Linked DNA regions of Nothobranchius furzeri. The protein of the gene in region 6 binds, or shares a complex with, the protein of the main gene of each other region. Links are inferred from orthologs where the notes say so. Each region holds a gene or a part of one and is shown on either strand. Other genes may lie near its edges.

Evidence for each region.
Region 1: exosc4 (region 6) and exosc2 share a complex: the UniProt entries of both Homo sapiens proteins name them as parts of the RNA exosome core complex. The link is inferred for Nothobranchius furzeri from reciprocal best matches to the Homo sapiens genes EXOSC4 and EXOSC2.
Region 2: exosc4 (region 6) and exosc8 share a complex: the UniProt entries of both Homo sapiens proteins name them as parts of the RNA exosome core complex. The link is inferred for Nothobranchius furzeri from reciprocal best matches to the Homo sapiens genes EXOSC4 and EXOSC8.
Region 3: exosc4 (region 6) and exosc1 share a complex: the UniProt entries of both Homo sapiens proteins name them as parts of the RNA exosome core complex. The link is inferred for Nothobranchius furzeri from reciprocal best matches to the Homo sapiens genes EXOSC4 and EXOSC1.
Region 4: exosc4 (region 6) and exosc3 share a complex: the UniProt entries of both Homo sapiens proteins name them as parts of the RNA exosome core complex. The link is inferred for Nothobranchius furzeri from reciprocal best matches to the Homo sapiens genes EXOSC4 and EXOSC3.
Region 5: exosc4 (region 6) and exosc9 share a complex: the UniProt entries of both Homo sapiens proteins name them as parts of the RNA exosome core complex. The link is inferred for Nothobranchius furzeri from reciprocal best matches to the Homo sapiens genes EXOSC4 and EXOSC9.

The regions. Positions count from the first base shown.
Region 1 is NC_091746.1:53,646,459-53,650,731, reverse strand, and holds the start of exosc2 (exosome complex component RRP4), read right to left. Parts: upstream 2,801-4,273; 5' UTR 2,580-2,800; coding exon 2,458-2,579; intron 2,385-2,457; coding exon 2,283-2,384; intron 2,170-2,282; coding exon 2,124-2,169; intron 2,035-2,123; coding exon 1,945-2,034; intron 1,861-1,944; coding exon 1,795-1,860; intron 1,707-1,794; coding exon 1,638-1,706; intron 1,474-1,637; coding exon 1,297-1,473; intron 1-1,296. UniProt on the Homo sapiens protein: Non-catalytic component of the RNA exosome complex which has 3'->5' exoribonuclease activity and participates in a multitude of cellular RNA processing and degradation events.
Region 2 is NC_091750.1:62,637,160-62,641,254, forward strand, and holds exosc8 (exosome complex component RRP43), read left to right. Parts: upstream 1-1,395; 5' UTR 1,396-1,460; coding exon 1,461-1,477; intron 1,478-1,740; coding exon 1,741-1,777; intron 1,778-1,874; coding exon 1,875-1,938; intron 1,939-2,123; coding exon 2,124-2,197; intron 2,198-2,271; coding exon 2,272-2,317; intron 2,318-2,451; coding exon 2,452-2,557; intron 2,558-2,640; coding exon 2,641-2,686; intron 2,687-2,760; coding exon 2,761-2,857; intron 2,858-2,937; coding exon 2,938-3,058; intron 3,059-3,146; coding exon 3,147-3,253; intron 3,254-3,375; coding exon 3,376-3,494; 3' UTR 3,495-3,595; downstream 3,596-4,095. UniProt on the Homo sapiens protein: Non-catalytic component of the RNA exosome complex which has 3'->5' exoribonuclease activity and participates in a multitude of cellular RNA processing and degradation events.
Region 3 is NC_091746.1:82,291,581-82,295,654, reverse strand, and holds the end of exosc1 (exosome complex component CSL4), read left to right. Parts: intron 1-929; coding exon 930-1,018; intron 1,019-1,089; coding exon 1,090-1,123; intron 1,124-1,210; coding exon 1,211-1,261; intron 1,262-1,485; coding exon 1,486-1,570; intron 1,571-2,941; coding exon 2,942-3,048; 3' UTR 3,049-3,574; downstream 3,575-4,074. Other genes in the region: knop1 (lysine-rich nucleolar protein 1), read right to left, coding at 3,951-4,074. UniProt on the Homo sapiens protein: Non-catalytic component of the RNA exosome complex which has 3'->5' exoribonuclease activity and participates in a multitude of cellular RNA processing and degradation events.
Region 4 is NC_091741.1:64,434,378-64,438,604, forward strand, and holds the start of exosc3 (exosome complex component RRP40), read left to right. Parts: upstream 1-1,427; 5' UTR 1,428-1,469; coding exon 1,470-1,694; intron 1,695-2,181; coding exon 2,182-2,331; intron 2,332-3,018; coding exon 3,019-3,170; intron 3,171-3,706; coding exon 3,707-3,914; 3' UTR 3,915-4,227. UniProt on the Homo sapiens protein: Non-catalytic component of the RNA exosome complex which has 3'->5' exoribonuclease activity and participates in a multitude of cellular RNA processing and degradation events.
Region 5 is NC_091746.1:81,910,903-81,914,970, forward strand, and holds the start of exosc9 (exosome complex component RRP45), read right to left. Parts: upstream 2,801-4,068; 5' UTR 2,702-2,800; coding exon 2,636-2,701; intron 2,371-2,635; coding exon 2,276-2,370; intron 1-2,275. UniProt on the Homo sapiens protein: Non-catalytic component of the RNA exosome complex which has 3'->5' exoribonuclease activity and participates in a multitude of cellular RNA processing and degradation events.
Region 6 is NC_091751.1:51,169,413-51,172,673, forward strand, and holds exosc4 (exosome complex component RRP41), read left to right. Parts: upstream 1-1,221; 5' UTR 1,222-1,277; coding exon 1,278-1,448; intron 1,449-1,988; coding exon 1,989-2,195; intron 2,196-2,282; coding exon 2,283-2,642; 3' UTR 2,643-2,761; downstream 2,762-3,261. UniProt on the Homo sapiens protein: Non-catalytic component of the RNA exosome complex which has 3'->5' exoribonuclease activity and participates in a multitude of cellular RNA processing and degradation events.

The DNA.
Region 1 (4,273 bases), on a different chromosome or scaffold from region 6:
CTTCCAGCATTCCTTCAACTAGTTCTTGCCCAGTTCCATTATCAGAAGTAGCGCATCTAGCGGGGGCTCATAGAGAGCGGTATGTTAACTAGCTTACCAACGTTAGCTTACGTTCTCTCTGCAGCTGTTCACCGATGTAAACATGTTGCTGACTTTGCCTAAATCCACCCCTCTGGATTTATAACTTTATGTTGTAAACAGCGTTTCACTTCACACCAAAGCAGATTTTTAAAAAGTCTGGATCTCTACCAGCTCCTGTTGCTGGTGGTGTTACCGGGTTCAGCTGCTGCTCTCACATCGGAATGAGATCTCTGAACGCTGAAGCTCATATAAATAAATAAATAACGTAATTTTAACACATGTAATCATACATCGGAGCTTTAATATTGTTAATAATTGTCTCGCTTTATACAACAGTGGACGGCGCGCGTCATCCGGGGTGAAATACCCATCCATCAGGATTATCAATAACTTGTATGAACACATCACCTTTATCCCTGTCCCTGTCTTCCTCGTGAAATAAATGAACATTAATCTTACCCGGTAAAAACATGTTCGCTGCAAATCTGAGGGCTACTTCGCTTAATTGATCACTGCAGTTTGTCTCCGTCCTCAGTCTCCCATCAAATTTATTAAAAAGAAAAAACGAGTTGAGTTTATGTCCTTGTCTCTTAGTGCAGCCGACCATGCAGCAGGCTAAAACCATTTTACTGTCAAATCAACTAAATAAAAGCGATAAAAGGCTACAAACTGGCTTGTTTTGACCAGCTTCACTGGGGATTCTACAGGTGTAAATGGTATTTTTGCCGTCCGTCATGGCGAAGGGGGCGGTCACATGAGTGGCGTGAGGTCACGTGCAAAGGGTCAATACCCAATACTTTAACAGTCTCAAGTTGCTTTTCTCTCTAAGGCTGCCCCGTTCCTCCAGGAGGAATTCTTAGAGCATTACATGTCTGGATGTGTTAAATAGATTATGTTTAATAAGTATTTCTTCACAAACAGAGGTGAGAAGTCAGGTCAGAGGGTCAAATTTTCATTCCTTAGGAAGCTTTTCCTTCTCTTGACATAAAAATACTTTGTGCCTTTAGGTAAATTCATGTAGTTTATCATTTATGATGTCTTAAAATACTAGATCATGTCTCACAAAACTGACCTTTAATAGACCCAGCAAGGTTTCTCAAACAAATCACTTATTATGTTGAACTGCTTTACTCACACTTTAACGCTCACACACATCTATCAAAATCAAGTCAATAAAGTTTATGAACAACTTCTCTTGACTGGTTCTGAATGTACCTCCAAACTGGTGTAGAAGCCCCCAGCTTCCTCATCCTGTTGTCCCAGCGTGGGATACAACCACACAAAGCCATTATTACCAAGGATTATAGATGCACCACATGGAAGATTGTGGAAATGTGTTTTCTGCCTCTTGATCAGAGAAGGAGAAATCTGGACCAGCACTCCTTGACCCAACTGACAGTCAAAAAGAATTGAAATAAGATTGAGATTAAAATTATTATTATTATTATTATTATTACTACAGATTATTTTCCCACAAAAGAAGCTTTTTATAATTAGGAACGTGTTAGTGTAAAAATTAGTGGGATTACTCAGTGTCACTGTGTGCTATAACTTACTTTTCCATATTTTAAACTACGAGTGTGAAGTGAGAGTGCTCCATCTGAAAAAACAGACTGCACTTCTGCCTAAAAAACAAACAAAAGTTCAAACCCAGTCAGGAATAAAAAAAAACTGGTAGTAAAAGTTGGTCATTTTGAATCAAATGTGTCTTACACTGATTAGATCGCCTTCCTGGATGTATTTTCTCATGGTGAGCTCGTCTTCTGCAGATCTTCGTCTCTAAAAGGCAAAATCAATCAGTTTAGCAAAAGTAAAAACAAAAATCTCAACCAAAACATATGAAGCTACGTTCTACTATCTCACCAGTTCTCCTCCAGGCAGATTGACAGATGACAATAAGAGGACCGAATCTAGTCTGGAGTTGGTATCCACCTTCCACCGCTTCTGTTGAACCTGAATTTGAAAACATCCCCATTCTGAAAACTCTTGATGAAAGTACTACATCTTTTTACTGTTTTTAGATCACAAAAACATTTGTTCACCTCCGTGATCCTGCCAACAACCACATCTCCAACCTCACCGTTAAATCTGTAATTCACATCAGAGTTATAGGACTGCATTTAGATAAAAGCAGGACACATAGCAAGTGAAAGCAGTGCAGAGGTAAATGATGTTTCATGGCTCTTAAATTAATGGCGTACCTGGTCTTTAGAGGTCTGACGCAGATTAGTTTGTCAACTCTTTGCACCTTTCCTGCAACTGAAGCCGTTAGTTTATCATCGTCGACATATGTTCCATGACCCCTGTGAGAAAACGAGGTAAAGTAATGGTTACCAGGCCTTTACTCCCAGGCTTCACAGTAGAACCAGTACCCACCTCATGAAACCTGTGTCTGAGGTGATAACATCGCCGGGAACTACCAAATCTTTCCGGTATACAGCGGGAGCCGACAAAGTCATTGTTTTTTTAACAGTCGGTAATCTCATGTCCACTGCCATGCTTGTTTCTTCTTACTTTTCCCGCTCGCGACAGAGTCCACAGGGCTTTACTTCTATGTGCACACTTAGAATAGTGAAGAAAATTTAAGAAAGGGTTTCCTCCCCAAAGTTAACAGTCGTTTAAAAACCAACTGGCTCAACAAGCTACAAAAATGGACAACAATATAACTATAACAGACCATGCATGTCTGTGATGCTAGGTAGCACACTCTCCTACTTCTGCTCTGTTACGTAGTTTGTGAGACCAGCTAACGCCCCCTACTGGTACGGAGTAAAAGCGACAGAAATTGATGTTTTGTTACTGCTCTCTTTCCGCCAAATAAAGATCAATGCAGTACTACTGACTCAGCCAGGTTCAGATTAACAAACAACTCAATAATAGCTAAATCATTCCACTTCTGTGATCATAAGATTCATCACAGTTTTACTGGTGGAATCTTATAAGCCCGCTTTAATTGTTAATTCAGGGCTTTTATTTCTTCTTTATCAATTTCACTTCCCTCAGTTTTTGTTTACTTTGCAGAATTTGTGATTTTATTAGGCAAGGTAAAAACATATTCCAGAAAAATATACAAAAACAGGATAATTAGGGTTGGACTTTTTAAATAAATTCAAATTTGTTTTCATGAAAGTTTGTACAAAAATATATAGCCTAGAAAACCATCAGATTGCACCCAGCCTTTACTTTGATTCATCCCCTGGAGCATGCATAGGTCAGACAACAGTGATGAGGAGGATTTCACACTTGGATGCAGACTCCTGGGGGTTGTTTCCTTTCTAGAGCTTTCTTAAGTTAGCTCAACAATACAGCCAAACATCAATTTTTTTCTTTTCATGTTTACAGATGTATGCCATTTAAATTAATACATTCTCAGCTCAATCCAGTATTTTTTCAACTGTAATTAATGTTTTGATGAGTTCTTAAAATATCTATAATCCCAATGCCATCCCTATAAGTTTATTGTGGACTCTTAAAAATACATATATATAGTATAATGCAAGATTATTTTTGCTTCAGCAATTGACGGTCTAGATTCTAGGCTAGGTCAGAATCTTTTTTATTGTTTTGCTCTCAAATTAATTTTTTCAAACACCCCAACCCAGACTTATCTCTGCAAATAGCTTTGTTTTATGGAACTCAAAAGTATTCAAAATTCAATAAATAAATAAGACATTATGAAATAAATGTCTACATGAAGAAATACTAGACAATCATGTAATCTGACAATGAAATGATGAAATAACAGAATGTTATGTAAAATCTAAGTTCAATATTATGAAATATTTTTCATTCTTCTTTTAAAATGGCAGGTCACACCCACTGGTTTGACTGACGGACTGAGACATTCTGCTGTAAAGTCTCATTATGAAATAAATCAGCCATGGGAAAAAACACTATTAAAAAGAAGTTATGTAATAAAAACTGAATGAATTAAATTAAAATGGCTCAATGATCATTTGGTTTATTATGAAAAAAATGACTTTAGAAATAAAACTTTATATTAATAAAGATATTTTAAAAGAAGAAGGATTTCCTATTTCCACCTTCAGAATATTGCTTAGATTAGAAGCATCCTTTCCAGGAGTGATGCTGAAAAACTAGTTCATGCATTTATTACATCAAGACTGGATTACTGTAATACATTACTCTCAGGAAGTCCACAGAATATAGTTAAAAATATTCTGCTTGTCCA
Region 2 (4,095 bases), on a different chromosome or scaffold from region 6:
CACGAGTTGCCAGTTCCTGCAGGGGAGGAGTGTGTATTGTGACAGTGTTTTTTTTTCTCAAAACCCAGCTTACTAACAGATTTGTTATAACAGCTTTGATAGAATAACAGAAGGTGAGTAATGCAAGAGAACTAAGTTATTTTCTACAGGGCTGCCAACTTGTGATGGTTTCCATGCACGAGGAGGTGTGTGAAAGGGGTCAGACACGTGTCTCACGCTCAATGGGAAGCTAAGTCACACCCATCTATTTCCGACCATGGGTCCCCAACAGGGCTGGACTGGGACAAAAAATCAGCCAGTTCGTTTTGAGCCGAGACCGGCCCACCAGCTAGTGAAGTTAAAAAGCAATGACGCCTATTTTTTACACCACCTCTCTAACCCTGGGCCTCGATATTCCATATCCATCATGTTTTACTTGTTTCCCTGCTCCAGCACAAAAACTGAGCTTATTTTGCTGCTTAACCCTTTGGTGCATAACGGTCACTACAGTGGACAGTTACTCAAAATTGTTATTTATTTATTTTTGCTATTAAGCACAGCTGTTGAAGACTTTATTGCATATGAGCCCTTCCATTTGGACTTCAGTAAGTCAAGCCACCATATTTCATGTTCAGAATGCACATTGTCCACTGAGATGGACATGTAATAAAGTATTTGTAAATTAACAAAATGGTACAAAAAATATTTGTTGAAATTTGTTTCATTCACACCTAAAGATGAATGAAAAAAATAGTTTAAAAAATCATGGTTGAAGATTTCATAATTCATGCATCAGAGGGTTAATGCAACAAAACATCAACAGACCAAGACAATCTTCAGATATCTAACTGCTCGTTTGAGGTTGAGTAAAGAAAACAGTAAAGCAGAAAATAATCAGAAAACCGAGTTGCCATGCATGCACTGCTCACACACACACACACACACACACACACACACACACACACACACACACACACACACACACACACACACACACACACACACACACACGCACGCACGCACGCACGCACACACACACACACACACACCAACATCAAAACACATGACTTGTTTAACAGTTTAATTTTGTATTTTAAAAGAATGATCCAAACCATTCTAACTAAAAAGTTCAGTTTGAAGACATAAGAGAATCCACAATTTTGCTCTGGATTGTTCGGTTAGGAAAGAGGAGTTTGTAAGGAATATTTATTCACTGTCAATTGTTTAAACACTACAATATTGTTTGTTTAGCAAATTAATATATCGAGTTTTATTTAATCTTTATTAATTGTGACCGGTTATCAATTTGAAAGTTTTATTGACCTTACAACACCAACTCATTTTTGAAAAAGACGAATTTGTTGGCCAGTTTTTCGTTCATTTCCGAACTCCAGTCCAGTTGGTGGCGGTAATGCACACTTGTCGTTGGTAATCACAGTTTCGTCGCGGCCACCGTAGTTCACGTGGGTAATCAAAACATCATGGCGGCTGGTTTCAAGTAAGTCATTTTTAACATGTATTTTTCTTTATATTCAGACTTTGATTTTCATCAAATATATATCATCGATATATTTAATGTTCAGTGTTATATCTAAATTTAGTTTGCTTGTCAAAAAATACAGAAACAACATTTCTGTGACGTCAGTTGGGCTAGTGACGGGATAGTACACTTTATTTGTTAGATTTATCGGTCTGCTGTTTATTGCAGGATCGCACGTGTTTGTTACTAATTTGTCTTATTTAATTTCTTTAAACTTTCAGGACGGCGGAGCCTCTGGAGTATCACAGGAGCTTTTTGGTTCGTCAAATACATACAAACTATACCCAGTAGAAACCCATAAATGTTATTATTATTGTTATTAGTGTCATTGTAATTGCAAATGCTTCATTTGCAGAAAGAAAATTGTAGACCTGATGGGCGGGAGTTGTCTGAATTTAGAAGTACAACCTTAAACATTGGTAAGAAAATAAATTAAATGTTTCCTCCCTGTAATAAAACATAATTTTAGATATGATGTAAATAAAATAATATGTACTTCTAATACAAAATGAGTCGGCTCATATTTTTTCAACTCCAACATTTTCCAGTGCCTAAAGGGCTGATCACTGCCAGCTGTAACAGTTTTTACTTATTTTCTGTTCAGGGTCTATTTCCACTGCAGACGGCTCCGCTCTGGTAAAGCTGGGAAACACCACGATCATCTGTGGCATCAAAGCGGTACTGGTGCACAATGACTCAAACCGCTACTGCTAAGATTTCTTTAGGTGTTAAAGTCATGTGTTCATATGCAGGAGCTGACTAACCCTACTGTGGATGCACCTGGTAAAGGTTACATAGGTAAGTTCTGAACACATTTTACAGCCTCCTTGTTTCCATCAGGTTTTCATTGCTTAATTCTTTATCTCGTATTTTCTGTTTGATTCTGTATTTTATTATGACATCATCATCTGTCTATATATGTTTTAAAAAAGTGCCCAATGTAGACCTGCCACCCCTGTGTTCGTCCCGCTTCCGACCAGGCCCACCAGGGGAACAGGCCCAGGCTGCCAGCCAGTTCATCGCTGATATCATTGAGAGGTGTGTTAAGCCTTCAAACACCTTTAGTTTCCAGCTGTAGTGTTTCTGCCACTGCTTTGACTTAACCTTCATGTGTCGTGCAGCTCTGAGGTGATCAAGAAAGAAGACTTGTGCATTGGCCGAGGAAAGGTGATTTTAGACTCATGTGTGGACTTTATTTGTTGTAATATATTCAATCATAATTCTGCTAAATCTTGTTGCAGCTCTGCTGGGTCCTCTACTGTGACATCATGTGTCTCGACTATGACGGGAACATCCTAGATGCTTGTGTTGTCGCCCTTCTGGCTGCCCTGAAAACCAGTAAGTAGGGTTGAGACTTTACTGAAACGGTGCATGTAATAAATAAAATAAATCTATCTTTTAGTAATCTTTCCCTGCAGCACAACTCCCAGAAGTCACCATCAACAAAGAGACGTCCGCCCCGGAGGTGAATTTTGAAAAGAAACACAAACTTAACATTCACCGACATCCAGTCAGCGTCTCCTTTTGCATCTTTGATGAGTACGTTTGTTTGATTTCAATTCAATTTTTATTTTAGGTACAAGTGCCATTTTGTTCTTCTTTAAGCCTTTTTGGTTTTCCTGTGCAGCTCCATACTGATCGTAGACCCCACCGCCGAGGAGGAGAGCCTGTCGACGGCACGCCTCACTGTGGTGATGGATGAGGAAGATCAGCTGTGCTCCTTACATAAACCAGGTCAGAGATGGCACATCTGTGATCTTTAGATTTGTGGTGCTTCTGCCATGAAATAAAGCTTCAGATTATTTTGAGTATTTTGAGAAAACGGGGATAAAAGGCTCTGCAAACTTTGCCTCCAGGTGGAACGCCACTGTCGGGAGAGAAGCTGCAGGAGTGCATCAAAAGAGCAACGGCACGAAAGGGAGAGATCCACAAACTTATTGAGAAAGTCATAAAAAGCATGAAGACAGCTCAATAAATACACTCAGACAACATTTTTTATCTAAAAGTTGTATTTTCCACTGTCAATATATATTCTTTTTTAATAACAATAAAACTGCTGACAAAGACTTAAAAAAATTATCTTTTCAGTGTCCAGAAATGTCTCACGCACACTTAGCTGATGTCTTAATTCATGTAAGAATATGCTCATGGCTCCTTGTTAAAAGGTAACACCTTTTGAAAATCTGCTGTACAAACGCACGCCGTCTTGCATGATGACTCTGAGTCCTCGCGTGAGCCCTGCGCCGGAATACTCCCCAAGATCAGATTTGCATTTTCACGTCGTGGACACGTGGACGGCTTGGTGTTGCTAATCTGTGCTTAAAGGGCAGCCTCATGCGAAATTCTCTTTAAAATGTCCTCTCACTCCACAGGGCCTCGGCAGAGAAAAGTCTTCCGAAAGTAGAAATATGTAACCGTGGAAGCTCGTTACCTACAAGACCCGTCTTCTTCTTGATCATCTGAAAAAAAATATCACCAAGGCTCTTAGAGCTTCGGGCTTCCTGCTGTAGAAACCAGTTCCCCCACAGTGGACAAAGGTTTGGTTTTCAGAAAACATCTGAGAACCAAATCATAAA
Region 3 (4,074 bases), on a different chromosome or scaffold from region 6:
TTTTCGCTCCGAACCGTTCTTTGAACGTTGTTTCAGCTGTCATCAAGGATATAAACGTTACAGATACAAAGGACATCACTGGCGCTTTAGCTCACCTATTAAGATGTTGGACTCTCGTGCAGAAGACCCGGGTTCGATTCTGGATGTAAACATAGTTTAATTAGTTTCTTTTTTACATTAATGGTATATTTTTTACAGTAAGATACCCAAATTTTTATTTGAGACTCGCCGAACGGCATTGAATTCACAGATAAAAAAGATGTGGGTTCAACTTTCATTTTGGAACAATTTTTCAAGCAAGGGAAGGGAATGATCTGAGCATGCAGGAGGACTGACCCATCATAAACCTTTGTCGGCTGTGCTGAAGAGAAAGGTACAGAACCACATTATTTAATTAATTAGCTGCGTGTTCTCCTATCCTCTGTCCTCCGGGCCACACACACACACACACACACACACAAGGGACTGCCTCAGCTGTTATTTTCGTTAAGGAGTGTGCACGTACAGCATGCACGCCTCGTGCACGAGCCTACTATTGAAGCTGCCGTTACGCTTTTGGCCTGAGGGGGGCGATCGCGAGCATAAAAAAAGCATCAAACCTCTGTAAAGTCCCTTTAAGGACAGTTATTTTTGTATTATATGTATTTAGGGGGTGTTTTTTTTTACACAAATCAAGAAAAAAAAGTGCCTTTTCAAATAAAATGTATTCATAAATCACCTTAAAAACAAACAAAGTGCAACATAATAAACATCATACAAATGACCAAAAGAAACATTTAAGTTAAGCTCTTTATCATTTTTTACACCAGTTAAACTCAGATGATCATATCTGAAACGTGCACTAAAACTCAAGACGGGGACAGCCAGTGCATTCACAGATGTCAGTACTTTGTGTTCAGGTTTGCCTTTTACTAACTTGTCTTTTAAAGGTGACCAGCACCAACCCCAGGTTTGCCAAAGTCCACATCCTGTATGTGGGTTCCACACCGCTGAAGGACCGCTTCAGAGGGACCATCAGGTAACCTCACTACGTAAATCCAGTTTGATTAACTTTCCTAAACTCTTAGCTCACTCTCTCCGTATCTACAGGAAAGAAGACGTGCGAGCAACAGAGAAGGATAAAGTGAGCTAGAATTCGTACTTTTACTTGGATTGTTTACTTATTTTTGCTCCTTCTGTTTCCTTACTGATGGTTCTGTTTTGTTTACAGGTGGAGATATACAAAAGCTTCAGAACGGGCGACATTGTTTTGGCTAAAGTGGTATCCTTCAACAAGCTCTCCAAGAAAGAAAACCAAACAAATTTAAAAGCTATTTTCAGCTCATAACCCAGTTTCATTGGGACCTGTAAAATTTGCTGAGCTGAATGGGACAAAATGAATGAATGAATCTTAGAAATGACAGCAAACAATGTTCACATGTTACTACTGACTCCGGTGCTTCAGTCTGAACGTTACTGATTACTAATCTTGACCTTTGATGTCAGATTTCTCTCGGTGACATTCAGTCTAACTACTTGTTAACAACAGCTGAGAATGAACTGGGTGTGGTGGTGGCCCACAGCGAGGCAGGTACGTTCCTCACCTCTTTCACTTCATCTTTCCAAACTAAACAGCTGCTCAGATCTGACCAGCTCACTCAGGTTCTGCAGGAACAGCAGGGGGTCCAAAGTGGGAGGAAAAGATTTCTGATTAGAACTTAAGTAACATTATTAACTTCCATAATGACAGCATTACTGATTAATTCTCTAGTGTTATTTTCATCATAGCTAAATATTATTACTCTCAATTTCCGACCAAATGCAAAGATATTATCTATCTGATTTAGTAGCTAATTATTTGCGCTTGAAAACATTTCTTATCGTATTTTCAAGGTTTGAAAAGTGCTTAAAATTGGCCAAAAATACTTTAAGCTTCTTAAAAATGTAGTTGAATTCATTTTGTAAATCATCAACTAATAATTATCTATTTTTAAGAACTATTTTATTCAAAGATATTTCTTTATCTTGTGTCCTATGTTATATAATAATAGAGTTAAATAAAATATAACAATAATAAAGAAAAAAAATTTGGCCCTCACCATCTGTAGAGCCGCCACCAGGGGGCAGTAGACATGTATAGGACTAAATATGGCAGGTTTGTAGCAAAGTTCTTCACTGCACTTCTAAATGTACATATGTGATCTTATGGTAATTTTTTCGAAAAAAAAATAAAATAAAATAAAAAAATTACTCTTGAATGTTTAGATTTTTTTCTAACAATTCTTTTAAAGTAATTGTTCATTGTTTTTTGTTCACATACATGTTTTGATGTGTAGGCCATTAAAAGCTTCAGCAGAACTTGTAGCATTAACATTCATTCATTCAAGCTGCCTTTAAATAAATAAAATAGATTTCTAAAAGTAAAGTACTGGTTTCATGTGTGAAATGGTTTCAGCTTGAACACATAGCTGGAAAGCCTCAAAAATTCTCAACAGGTCTAAATTGGGCCATGGTGGCAAAAGGGTTAAGTGCTCGCCCCGTAATCGCAGGTTCGAGCCCCACTCAGTCTGTCGTTGTGTCCTTGGGCAAGACACCTAACCCCCCTTGCCTGCTGGTGGTGGTCAGAGGGACCGGTGGCGCCAGTGCTCGGCAGCCTCGCCTCTGTCAGTGCGCCCCAGGGCAGCTGTGGCTACATCGTAGCGCATCCCCACCAGCGTGTGAATGGGTGAATGACTGATTGTGTTGTAAAGCGCATTGGGGGGTTCCAGGACTCTAGAAGGCACTATATCAAATACAGGCCATTTACCAAATTTGCATTTGGAAAAAGTGTAAGAGCCTTTTAATATTGCTGACATGAAAACAGGTGTTTTCCGTCGTATTTTCCCTACTTTCTTTTCTTGTAAATAACTTCCCATTTTTCTGCATGTTTCTAACATTTTTACCACATTTTCCCCTGAACCAGGAGCCCAGATGATTCCCATCAGCTGGTGCGAGATGCAGTGTCCGTTGACTCACGCCAAAGAGTTTCGTAAAGTGGCTCGAGTCCAGCCTGAGTATTTGGAAGCGTGACAGCCTGGACAGTCTTCACTTGGTACACGCAACTTCCATCTTCCTTCAAGCAGCTCCTGCTCCAGCTTTTGTTTTTCTGTGCATCATGTGATTCACGGGCCACTTCTGGTTTAAGTGTTTCAAACAGCTGCACATTTTGTCATCCTTTCATTGTGCTTTTCTGACTGGTAAACAATAGCAGTTAGTTTTTTACCAGCAGACCCAAGAACACAGAAGTTAAACATGATTTTTATTTTTGGAAAGGGCCAGTAACGGTAGCTGGAAGAGCTCTACGCTTTATGGTTCGTCACAAATCGTGCTGGTGTTTTGCTGTCTTGGGCTTAAAGCTGATGAAGACATTTGTTCACTGTTGGAAAGCCCAGCGCTAAACCAAATGTTTGATGCAGCTACAGCGTAGAAAATAATGAAACGTTAAGTTACCTTCCTGTATATAACTGAGTCAACCGTACATAAGCCTTGCCTTTTACGAAAATGTACTTTGCTGTTTAACTTTCAAAAGTACAATAAATTAAAATGACTGATTCTACTTTGTCTGCAGTTCCTGCTTTGTGCACCTAACTATTCAATTGTTTTCTACAATCCTTCAAATTAAACATTTTGTAACTTACTGAACATCATAATTCATGTGTCACATTTAGAATTAAATGGCAAACTTTGGTTTTGTAGATTTATTTTTCAAAACATCAAAATGTATCAAAGCCATTAAAACTAAAATATTCACACTAACAGAGGCGTTGCTTTGAATTGTTTTACATAATCCGGTTTTGACACTGATGGTTTCATCTACATTTTGTACAACTCAGCCAACATTCGATCACCTCTAAAGTGAAACTAACGAGACTGAACTCATTTACAACGCTGATATAAAAAAAAAAGGTTTATCCAAACATCCACCTTCCTGATCAGTCATCAAAGCGAATTGATCGACTTGCATTGACATCAATGAAGAACTTTTTATTGGGTGGGGCGTTAAACCCAAGCCCCGCCCCCTTTTTACTGAAGTCCATTCTGCGTGAGTGGGCTCGC
Region 4 (4,227 bases), on a different chromosome or scaffold from region 6:
ATTTATCCAAAATAAATCTTATTTTTTCTATCATTCTGTGTTCATGGTTGATTCTGCATGTCTTGGGTTAGACACATCCCTCAAAACATGACACATCACTCCCTGTTCTTAAATCTCTACTAGGGCTGCACATTTAATCAAATTTTATTCCCAATTATGACTTAAGTTTTGAACGATTATGAAAACAAAACAAGCCGATTATTTGCTCCTTCCTCTTGCACTGCTCCGAGTTGCAAATCAAGTGTTCACCCCCACAGTGTTGCCCACTTAGCAACTTTGTTGCTATTTCTAACAGCTATTCAGACCCCCTTCTTGACTTTTTAAATCCTAAAAGTACCTAGTTAACAACATGGAAACATCTAAGATAACACTTAGCTGCTTTCTGGATGGAGGGTGAAGGAGACATGTCCAACTTTTTAATCATTGAGGTGGGCTGAAAACAGCAGGAATACTCATATTATTAAAAATATGCACGCACCAGGGGCGTGTCCAGGGAGTAGCCTGGGGTAGCAAATGCCACCCTTGGAATCTGATTGGCCACCCCAGGTGCCACCACACTGAATTCCCTTTAAATAGGCTTTTCATTGTCCACAAAAGGCTTGGGGTAAAAAAAATGTAAAAAAGCATAACCATTGGTGCCACCCATGCACAAAGTAGTGCATCACCTAGGCCACCCCATTTTAAAAGATCTGGACACGCCACTGACACGCACCTCTCTTCTGACTGGCTAACAGAACATGTTCAGCCATGTTACAAAGTGACTATCACCAAGACACTCTCCGTTCTCTCTCCTCACTGTAAAAAAGTTAAAAAAGCCATCCTGTGCATGCACGAGCAAAGATAGGCTCGGCCAGTTCACACTGTGACATAGATATGTGAGGATTTTCAAATCCTAGCATTTCACAGTCTATTTTCTATCAGAAGCTAATGCAGGAGATAGGTGTAGAAGACTGTTTTCATGTTCAGCCTGCATGAAAAATTCAGAGTGACCGGTTCCCTGTCATTTCACTTTATTTATTATAACTCACCTTGTACTTCCTGATTTCTTTGTGTGAATTCCATATATGGGTTTATAGCAACATCTGGAGCAAATTTTGTGTCAATAGCCCACTTAGACATGCCCTTACTGATAAAAACGCTGAGGAGGTTCTGGGGTCAGTCGCTTCTATAGTTTTAAAAGATTCAGTGTGGACTGGAATCAGATTCATGCGGTTTGTCTGCCGCTCCATAAAGGGTCCCAAATCACGGCAAAGCTCCAGAAGGATCTCCTTCAGTATTCAGAAATTAGCCAGACTAAATAAATATATTATTTATATTTTTTATTGCAAAGCAAGAGTTTGGTCTAGTTCTCTTCTTGAGCAGCAGGGAGCGAGCTGAGCCGGAGGTCTATCTCCTCCTGAGCAGCAGGGGGCGCTCTGAGTCGGAACCAGAACAGAACCAAGAGGTCCAGACTTCTTCTAGCTAGCGGTATGTTTTCAAGTCTGAAGGAGAAAATCGGTGAAGTTCTTTTACCTGGAGATGAATTTGTCTTCGAGTCTGAGGACACAATTTTTCTAACAGACAATGTGAAGCCAGAGCGGCCGGTGTGTGGACCGGGGCTGCGGCAGAGCGGAAACCGGCTGGTGGTGAGCAAGAGCGGCGTGTTGAGGCACAAACCACCGCACACGTTTTGGATGGACTCACAGCAGTGGAGGGTGGGTACCGACCGGTCCAGACTGGACTCGCGGCCGAACCTGTCAGAACAGAACCGTGAGAGCTAATAGACAAGGTTCAGAGTTCTCACTGATGAAAAACCCGGCGGAAATTACATGTGTTTCTAGTTATTTGTCCCCCTATCCATACATTTGCGATGTGTTAACTTTTTTATACCCTAAAGTTTATCATTTATTATCTATTTCATATTCAAATCTGTTGAATATTCGTTTCCTTGTTAATGGTTATTTTTATTGTTCTATACACTTTGTTGTGATCGTATATAAAATTAAAAAGTTAATGTACCGGAAGTCTGAAGGAAGTCAAAGTTTGAAACTTTCTACAAAACTAAACTAGGGTGAAGTTAGGTTTATGTTGCAGTGGTGTTTTATACTGTTTCATCCGGTAACGATTATGGAAAGGTAAACTGGTCACGTTGGCACAAGCAGCATGTTCTATCCACTCACCACCTGAAACTTCTGTCCTCAGTATGTCCCAGCCAAAGCAGAGACGGTCATTGGTATTGTGACATCCAAGTCTGGGGACATCTTTAAGGTGGACGTTGGAGGCAGTGAGCAGGCATCTTTGTCCTATCTGGCCTTTGAAGGAGCTACAAAGAGGAACAGACCCAATGTCCAGGTGAGACTCAGGGGACAGTTTTTTTCTACTTGAAACAAGTGAGTCATGTTTAGAGTCCAGATTTGGGGGACCCGTCAGCTGTTTTTAGGAGTTCTGTGTCCCTTGTGACCCCAAAATCACAAGCATGCAACACACAGACACACATATGATCACTGTAGAGGATTGAAAGAAGAGTTCTGATGTATTGTTTTTACGCTGACCCAGTATGGAACGTGTCGGGACCAACAGGAAGTACACCTGATCGTTTAGTCATGCTGGGTGTCTTATGGGAAGAAAAAAAGTCTCAAAAAAATCTGTGTCTGTGTGTATCTTGATGTGTGTGTGTATCTAGATGTGTGTGTGTGTAGATAGATCTAAGCATGTATAACTCTTGATTTGTAACTTGTTTACATTTTCGTGTGTAACTTCAGTTCCTACACATACAGATCATTAAATAAACACACACACACAAATCACTTAGTACACACGGACAAAACTACATTACACACAGATCAGTTTACAAGTGCAAAAATCCTTTTGAGACTCATTTTCTCACCTGACTGATTTGTGCCTACATGGTGTGTTTGAATGCTGCATGTCTGATGGCTCAGGACCTTTTGGGTCCCTCTGGACTATCAGTACTTTGGTGCCCTGTCCTTATTGGACCAGATCAGCTTATGTATTGCCCTCTGTGTGTTCCCTGTGCAGGTTGGAGACCTGGTGTTCGCTCAGTTCACTGTAGCCAATAAAGACATGGAACCAGAGCTGGTGTGTATCGACGGATCGGGCCGGGCCAACGGGATGGGTGTTTTCGGAGGAGGTGGTCTGCTCCTCAAAGTCTCTCTGGGCCTCGTTAGAAGGTAACATTACCCAACATTTTCATTCTCTGACTGACAAACTCTGAACCAGCAGGAGCTTCTGGATGAGTATCAGGACTGGGTCAAAGGCCGGGTTCTGTTACAGTTGGGTTTCATCTACAGACATCAATTTACTTGCAAAGGTGTGAAGTTCTCACAGAACCACATATTTAGTCCTGATGGTTCTGGAACAAGACCCAGGTTATTTAAAGAGAATTTGTCTGAAACTGAAGCAGAGGTCATTGTCTGAGAACTGGGTCAGTTTGTCTTTAGTTCCATTTTTAATTGAACCATATGTGCCAGAGGGAGTGGCCTATTCTGACTCATAAGTCCAGTGTTGGGTAATAAAGAATCCTCTGACAGAACAGCTTCTGTGAGTGTCTTGCAGCTGTTCTAAATCAGAACAAGAGCCTCTTAACTCCTGCATGTATCTGTGAGTGATTATCAACAGGACAAAGTTAATCTGTTACAAAGACCCAACATTGAGTTCTGACATGGTAACAGCTCTGGTCGTGCTCTCGTTTCTCCCTCCCTAACAGGCTGCTGGCCCCCCAAAGTGACATCCGGTCTGACCTGGAACAGCTGTTCCCCTGTGAGCTGGTGGTGGGAATGAACGGTCGGATTTGGGTCCGAGCATCCACCATCCAGCAGACTCTGATCATCTCCAATCTCCTGCAGAGCTGTGACACCCTGACAGCACCGCAGAGACGGGAACAGTTCAGGAAGCTCCAGAAGGGGGGGCTGTAGGCTTCCCCCTCATCATATTTTACTCATTTTATTCATTAACTTGTTTATAACTTTGGTGGAAATAAGCTTTATTTCTGTTTGGAACAGGGTGACTTATTGGTTAAAAGTTTCATGACAGGTAGGAGCCATCACTGTGGAGACATGTGTTTGATCTTTAGAACTTGTGTTTAAACATCCAACAGTGGATTTTAGTTCTAAGGATCATTCCAGTGGAATTCAAAGCTGAGATGATGGAATGATGTAGCTGCAGTCTCAGGCAGGTGAATTTGGTGCCTGGAGGGAACCTGACAGATCAAATCCAACAAGTCTTAAA
Region 5 (4,068 bases), on a different chromosome or scaffold from region 6:
TCAGACTAAAGAACTCTGAAGCAACTGTCGTGCACGGCAGAGGTGGTGTCATGTTGTGGTACTGGTGCACGGAACAAAGAGAAACGGGAGGAGAGATGACTGACGGACAGAGACATTTCCATGCTGCTAACTCTTTTCTCTTGGAGGGACAAACCCTTAAAAGCATCTAAAGGTCACAGACAAGGGTCGATTCTAGATTATATTAAAGTGACAATGTGTAGTTTTTACCATTAATCTCTGGAAATATCCATTGAAATGTTGTAAATGAATTAAAAAGTGCCCAGTTGTTGACAAATAGTGGTTGTTTCATAACATGCAGTGGGGCAAAAAAGTATTTAGTCAGCCACCGATTGTGCAAGTTCTCCCACTTAAAATGATGACAGAGGTCAGTAATTTACATCATAGGTGCACTTCAACTGTGAGAGACAGAATGTGGAAAAAAAATCCATGAATTCACATGGCAGGATTTTTAAAGAATTTATTTGTAAATCAGGGTGGAAAATAAGTATTTGGTCACTTCAGACAAGGAAAATCTCTGGCTCTCACAGACCTGTAACGTCTTCTTTAAGAAGCTTTTCTGTCCTCCACTCATTACCTGTATTAATGGCACCTGTTTGAACTCATTATCTGTATAAAAGACACCTGTCCACAGCCTCAAACAGTCAGACTCCAAACTCCACTATGGCCAAGACCAAAGAGCTTTCGAAGGACACCAGGAAAAGAATTGTAGACCTGCACCAGACTGGGAAGAGTGAATCTACAATAGGCAAGCAGCTTGGTGAGAAAAGATCAATTGTGGGAGCAATTATCAGAAAATGGAAGACATACAAGACCACTGATAATCTCCCTCGATCTGGGGCTCCACGCAAGATCTCATCCCGTGGGGTCAAAATGATCATGAGAACGGTGAGCAAGAATCCCAGAACCACACGGGGGGACCTGGTGAATGACCTGCAGAGGGCTGGGACCACAGTAACAAAGGTCACCATCAGTAACACATTACAACGTCAGGGAATCAAATCCTGCAGTGCCAGACGTGTTCCGCTGCTGAAGCCAGTGCATGTCCAGGCCTGTCTGAAGTTTGCCAGAGAGCACATGGATGATACAGCAGAGGATTGGGAGAATGTCATGTGGTCAGATGAAACCAAAGTAGAACTTTTTGGTATAAACTCAACTCGTCGTGTTTGGAGGAAGAAGAATACTGAGTTGCATCCCAAGAACACCATACCTACTGTGAAGCATGGGGGTGGGAACATCATGCTTGGGGCTGTTTTTCTGCTAAGGGGACAGGACGACTGATCCGTGTTAAGGACAGAATGAATGGGGCCATGTTTCGTGAGATTCTGAGCCAAAACCTCCTTCCATCAGTGAGAGCTTTGAAGATGAAACGTGGCTGGGTCTTCCAACACGACAATGATCACAAACACACCGCCCGGGCAACAAAGGAGTGGCTCCGTAAGAAGCATTTGAAAGTCCTGGAGTGGCCTAGCCAGTCTCCAGACCTCAACCCCATAGAAAATCTGTGGAGGGAGTGGAAAGTCCGTGTTGCTCGGCGACAGCCCCAAAACATCACTGCTCTCGAGAAGATCTGCATGGAGGAATGGGCCAAAATACCAGCTACTGTGTGTGCAAACCTGGTAAAGACCTATAGTAATCGTTTGACCTCTGTTATTGCCAACAAAGGTTATGTTACAAAGTATTGAGTTGAATTTTTGTTATTGACCAAATACTTATTTTCCACCCTGATTTACAAATAAATTCTTTAAAAATCCTTCCATGTGAATTCATGGATTTTTTTTCACATTCTGTCTCTCACAGTTGAAGTGTACCTATGATGTAAATTACTGACCTCTGTCATCATTTTAAGTGGGAGAACTTGCACAATCGGTGGCTGACTAAATACTTTTTTGCCCCACTGTATAGCCATAAAAATTGGGTTTAAAATGCATAGGAGTGGGTCTAAGTCTCTGGGTGACACAATATTGGATGCCATGTTTCCTTTTACGGAAGCCCGTGAGGACAGAATGCATTCACTGATTTGTAACTAATAGTTACAAAACTTTCAGCATTAATAAACGTTGTTCTTTTACATGTTTATCTCTTCACTCATTGCAAGGGATGAAAGGGAATCTGATGTTCTTGTTATTTTGATGAAGGTTGCACTCCCAAGGATTTTTGACCCTAACAGTTCCTCGTGTTGATTTTAGAGACAACATGTTAGTCAGTATTAGAATCATTCAGCAGCTTTCATCACATTACCAAACCCCAGAATCACCTGGTTTGCCCCAGATCCACAAAGCAGCATCCATAATCAGTCCCAAAAGTGATTTTCAACTTTCTGTAGTCATAGGTCTGTCGTCCATCGAGCCGCTAAAAGACACGAACAAAAAACAGTAAACAGAACTTTAGCTAGTTTCTTCAAAAACAATAGTTGGAACTTGGAAAATTAAATGACTTAATTTCGGTTACAACGTTTTTATCTTAAACATTTCTGTGACAATTTTGGTGTGAATTCTCACTTCTAAAGATACAATCATGAATAGAAGCACGGATTTTTTTCAGTTTTTCCATTCAACGTTCTGGATGTGGAGGTTGTTTTCTTAGCTACTTTGATGATAAACGTTTTAAAACGCACCTTTTTCTCTTCGATTGCTCTCAGTAAGAAGTCTCGCTCGCAGTTGGAAAGCGGCGTTTCTTTCATGATTGTTGTTATTTGCTGTTTCTGGTGAAAATCAAATTATTCTCAACTGACATGCGGGAACCACCTATTTACGCAATTCGCGCATGCGCGACGAAACAATATACGGCTTTACCGTATGTCGCAAATGAACCCAAATCTTTTTTTTTTCTTTTTTTTTTAGAGAAGATAACATACAAACAAAATGCACCGTACATTATATATTCAAACGATAATCATTACATGCATATTAAACATTTTCACGTATATGAAAAAAAGAAAATCTAAAGATGGGGTCACATAATTAACAGATTATTAACTTACTAACTCAAAATCTTCTACAAAGGAAATAAACAAATCTGCCTTTTTCTTTTTAACTAAATTCAACGATTTAATTAATAATTTTAAGTCGTTTTTCCAATAGGCTAGTGTTGGTTTGGTCTTAAAAATTGACATTTATGTATAAATTGTTTGCACAAAATTAATAACACATTAACACCATAATTAACTTTCTTTTTTTCAAAAACACTCCAAACATTGTCATATTTAAGGTAAATGGGGCAATTTGAATCCCACTAGAACAAAGCCAGGCATGAAAATCTAACCAAAATATTTGTATAAAGTTGCACAAAAAAAATTGATGGTCTAAGTCCTCCTCTTCTGTTTCACAAAATACACAATTACCAGCTTCTATATTGAATCTATCCCCAAGGAGTCTATTTGTTGGGTAAATGTTATTCAAAATTTTAAATAGGACTTCTTTCCCTTTAGGAGCGATATGTGAACCCAAATCTAAATTTGTTTGTAACCAATCATGTGAACTGATGTGGACTAATCTAATGTGTGTGTTGGTCGTTTATTTTATCCGTATATTCATACATGCGATTTTAACTAGACTGATATTCGTTTAAATGATAGAAGTAAGTACAGTGGGGCAAAACGTGGCTGTAAATGAATATTTTGTTCAGTTTGTTGGCTAAACACATAAAGAAATGACACCAATTTTGGATTTTCTTTCATTTAGTCTATTAAGTGTTGCGCTTCGAGTGTAAGCATGATATAAACAGTTGAAGGGACGAAAAGAAAAGGAGCTTCTACGTGATGCTTTCACAGAAACCCCCCGATCTCCAAATCGCCGGTTAATGGGATTTTATTCGGATTCAACGAAAAAGCTTTATTTTCCTCGAACCAGGTTTCAAATAGCATAAATCACAAACAATGAAGTTCGTTGAAGAAATACGGTGCACAAACCGATCAATTTTATGACACATTTTGCACATTCGGAACCTCATACAATTTACAATCAAAAATTAACGAATTGAAGGAAATTAACTGCCATTTTAGTCTGTTTTATATCTAGTTGTTTGGGTGTTTTCCAAATGAACATTTTG
Region 6 (3,261 bases):
CAGAAACTGGGTTTAGAACTGGTCTGATGAGTCAAGATGGACCCTGTTCCAGAGGGATGGGTGCGTCAGTGTAAGAAGAGAGGCAGATGAAGTGATGCACCCATCACACTTAGTTCCTATTGTACAAATCTGTGGGGGCAGTACCATAATCTGGGGTTGCTGCAGTTGGTCAGGTCTAGGTTCAGCAACAGGATGTGGGCAGCTCAGCCCTCCATGTGCTCGCCAGAGGCTGCCTGACTGCCATTAGGTACCAAGATGAGATCATCAAACCCCTTGTGAGACCATTACATCAAAGTTGGATCAGCCTATAGGGCTGGGCGATATGGCCTAAAATCAATATCATGATGTATTGAGGATTTCACCTCGATAACGATAAATGGATGATAACTACAGGTATGCGCAGAAACAAGAGTGGTCCACTAGATGGGGCTGTCACGTGTATCACGTTTAGTCACATTTTTACCTGACTCCAGGTGGTACGGCATCTTAAAGGGACAGGAATGTTGCCAACCTACACACATCTTTTCATTATTTTATTATTAAATTTGTTGACATGGGAAAAATTATCTCGATAAGAGTCTGAAATTTCGATGACGATAAATTTTCGATTTATTGCCCAGCCCAAACCTGTAGTGTGTTTATACATTTTAATTCTGTCGATGCTCTAAATCCAGATATCCATGGGTTGATAAATTTGATTTCTATTGATAATTCTTATATGGTTTTGTTGTCAGCACACTCAGCTATGTAAAGAACAAAGTATTAAGAATATTTCATTCATTCTGATCTAGGATGTGTTCATGTGTTCCCTTTATTTATAAACTGAATTGGTTTTACCGCCTTTAAAAGATATTGTGTAAAAGACCGAAGCAGAACGTTCACAAGGAGTGAGAGCATGAATGGAAACCTAATAATGAAATATGGGCAGGGTAATAGAAAATGTGCAAACCAGGAAACCAGCTGCAGGAATTCAAAATCTGCTGGTTTTGGATCATTGAAACCCTTTTTTAGAATTTGTTTTCTAAATATAAAAAATAAAATGTAGAAAGTGGTTGTGTTTTGAATTTTGACTTTATATTTTCATAGATATTTATTTATATTATTATACTTAAATGAGATCATCCATCCATCCAGATGTCAGAAAAAGGATGGACGGATGGAACGGAAACGTTCGTGCGCTTTTTTTCCCCCCGCTTTGAGCTTGCCGTTGTCCCTGGTAGAGGCTGTTGGGTAATGTAGTGCAGCGTTGAACACGTGAGGCGGGTGTTTGCAGAAACATGGCGGGCATCGAGCTGCTGTCGGACCAGGGATACCGCCTGGATGGAAGGAAAGCCACCGAACTGCGGAAAGTTCAGGCTCGCCTGGGTGTGTTCGCTCAGGCCGACGGTTCCGCTTACCTGGAACAGGGAAACACCAAAGTTCTGGCTGTGGTTTACGGTCCGCACGAGGTATGTAACGTCACGAATGTTTGGAGGACTTCATAACACATAACCATATAAAGGCGGTACTATATGTTTCCTAGTATTAGATTTAACAACATCTTCGCGCCTATTAGTGTTTGTATAATAAAGTGAGATCATAATAATATTTTACAATGTTTACTGTGCATCAGACGTGATAGAGCAGAATGCTACAGCATGGAGGTTAAATTAGAAATACACTGGAGCGAATGAAAGAATAATGAATGCAAATCACTAGTTATAAATATGAAATCAAAGTTCAAATGTGGTAACCCACCAGAAATGTATTTGTCGATGTAACCTTACAGTTGAGAAATAATAATAATAATAGAAACTTAAATCTAATGTTGCACATATTTCCAGAAACCTAGGGACTCCTGGTCTTGAAAAAAAATGGACATTTCAACATCCAGATATTTTTTTTAATTTTACTTTAGTTCTATTAGCATATTTTTAGGAATTATGTTAAAATCAAACAAGTCCAGTCGTGATTATTTTTGTATTTCTTCATCTCATTCTTCCCTCTAGATGCGAGGTTCAAGAAGTCGTACTCTCCACGATCGAGCCGTCATTAACTGCCAGTACAGCATGGCCACATTCAGCACCGCAGAAAGGAAGAGGAGGCCGCACGGAGACCGTAAATCCACCGAGATGAGTCTCCACCTGAAGCAAACGTTTGAAGCTGCTGTGATGACCCAGCTCTTCCCGCGCTCTCAAATAGACATTTATGTCAAGGTGCATCTTAGATTCTTTAAGTTTCTCTTTTCATGTTAATAAAGACAGCAGTTCCTTTTTTTCACGAAGATGTTTTGTATTTTTCAGATTCTGCAGTCAGATGGTGGGAACTACAGTGTGTGTGTTAATGCAGCCACCTTGGCTGTGATTGATGCTGGCATCCCGATGCGAGACTACGTGTGCGCCTGCACCGTGGGCTTTGTGGATGAGACTCCCCTCGCTGACCTTTGCTACGCCGAGGAGAGCGGAGGAGTCAGCTCTCTGGCGTTGGCGCTGCTTCCCAGGGGAGGACAGATTGCTCTGGTTCAGATGGACGCCAGGCTGCATCAGGATCACCTGGAAGCACTGATTGAAGCTGCAACGACAGCTTGTAAAGGTGTGAGCAAGGTGCTGGATGAGGTGGTGAGGCAGCATCTTCAAGAAGCATCGGTGCTCACCGGAGAGTAATGAATTATGAAGTGGAGCCCGTTTGGACTGAGAATCTCTGAACTCTTTCTTTATTTTATAATATTTCATTGCATTTCTTTATCCTTTTGTAACCAGACCTATAAATGTGTGAATGGAAATCTTCTCTTTGATTTTTCTCCTGACTCTTGTTCGATAGACATGTAGTCTCTGTTAGTTCTGTTAACTCTGAATAACAGATCATTAATAGTAATTATTAGAAAGAAAGAAAATGATCTTTTATATAGCGCCTCATGATAAAAATCACAAGTTGCTTCACAAGAAAAATACATTTTAAATATTAATAGATAAAATGATTAGAAGATATGGTTAAAATGAGAAAAAATATGTGATTAAAGGAAAGGATAAGGAAAGGGAAAGAGAAAATGAATAAGAAAGAAGAAAATCAGTGGATCCTGGGAGAGGTGGAGTTGGTAGAGCAGAATAAGGAGAGGGAGTGATGAAGGTAACACCAAAGCCAGCCTGAACAGGTGAGTTTTCAGCTTCTTTTTGAAGGAGACCACTGAGTCCACTGATCTCAGGCTCAGGGGGAGAGAGTTTCAGAGTCTGGGGTCTACAGCAGCAAATCATTGTCACCTTTGGTCTTTAGCCTGGTGCGCTG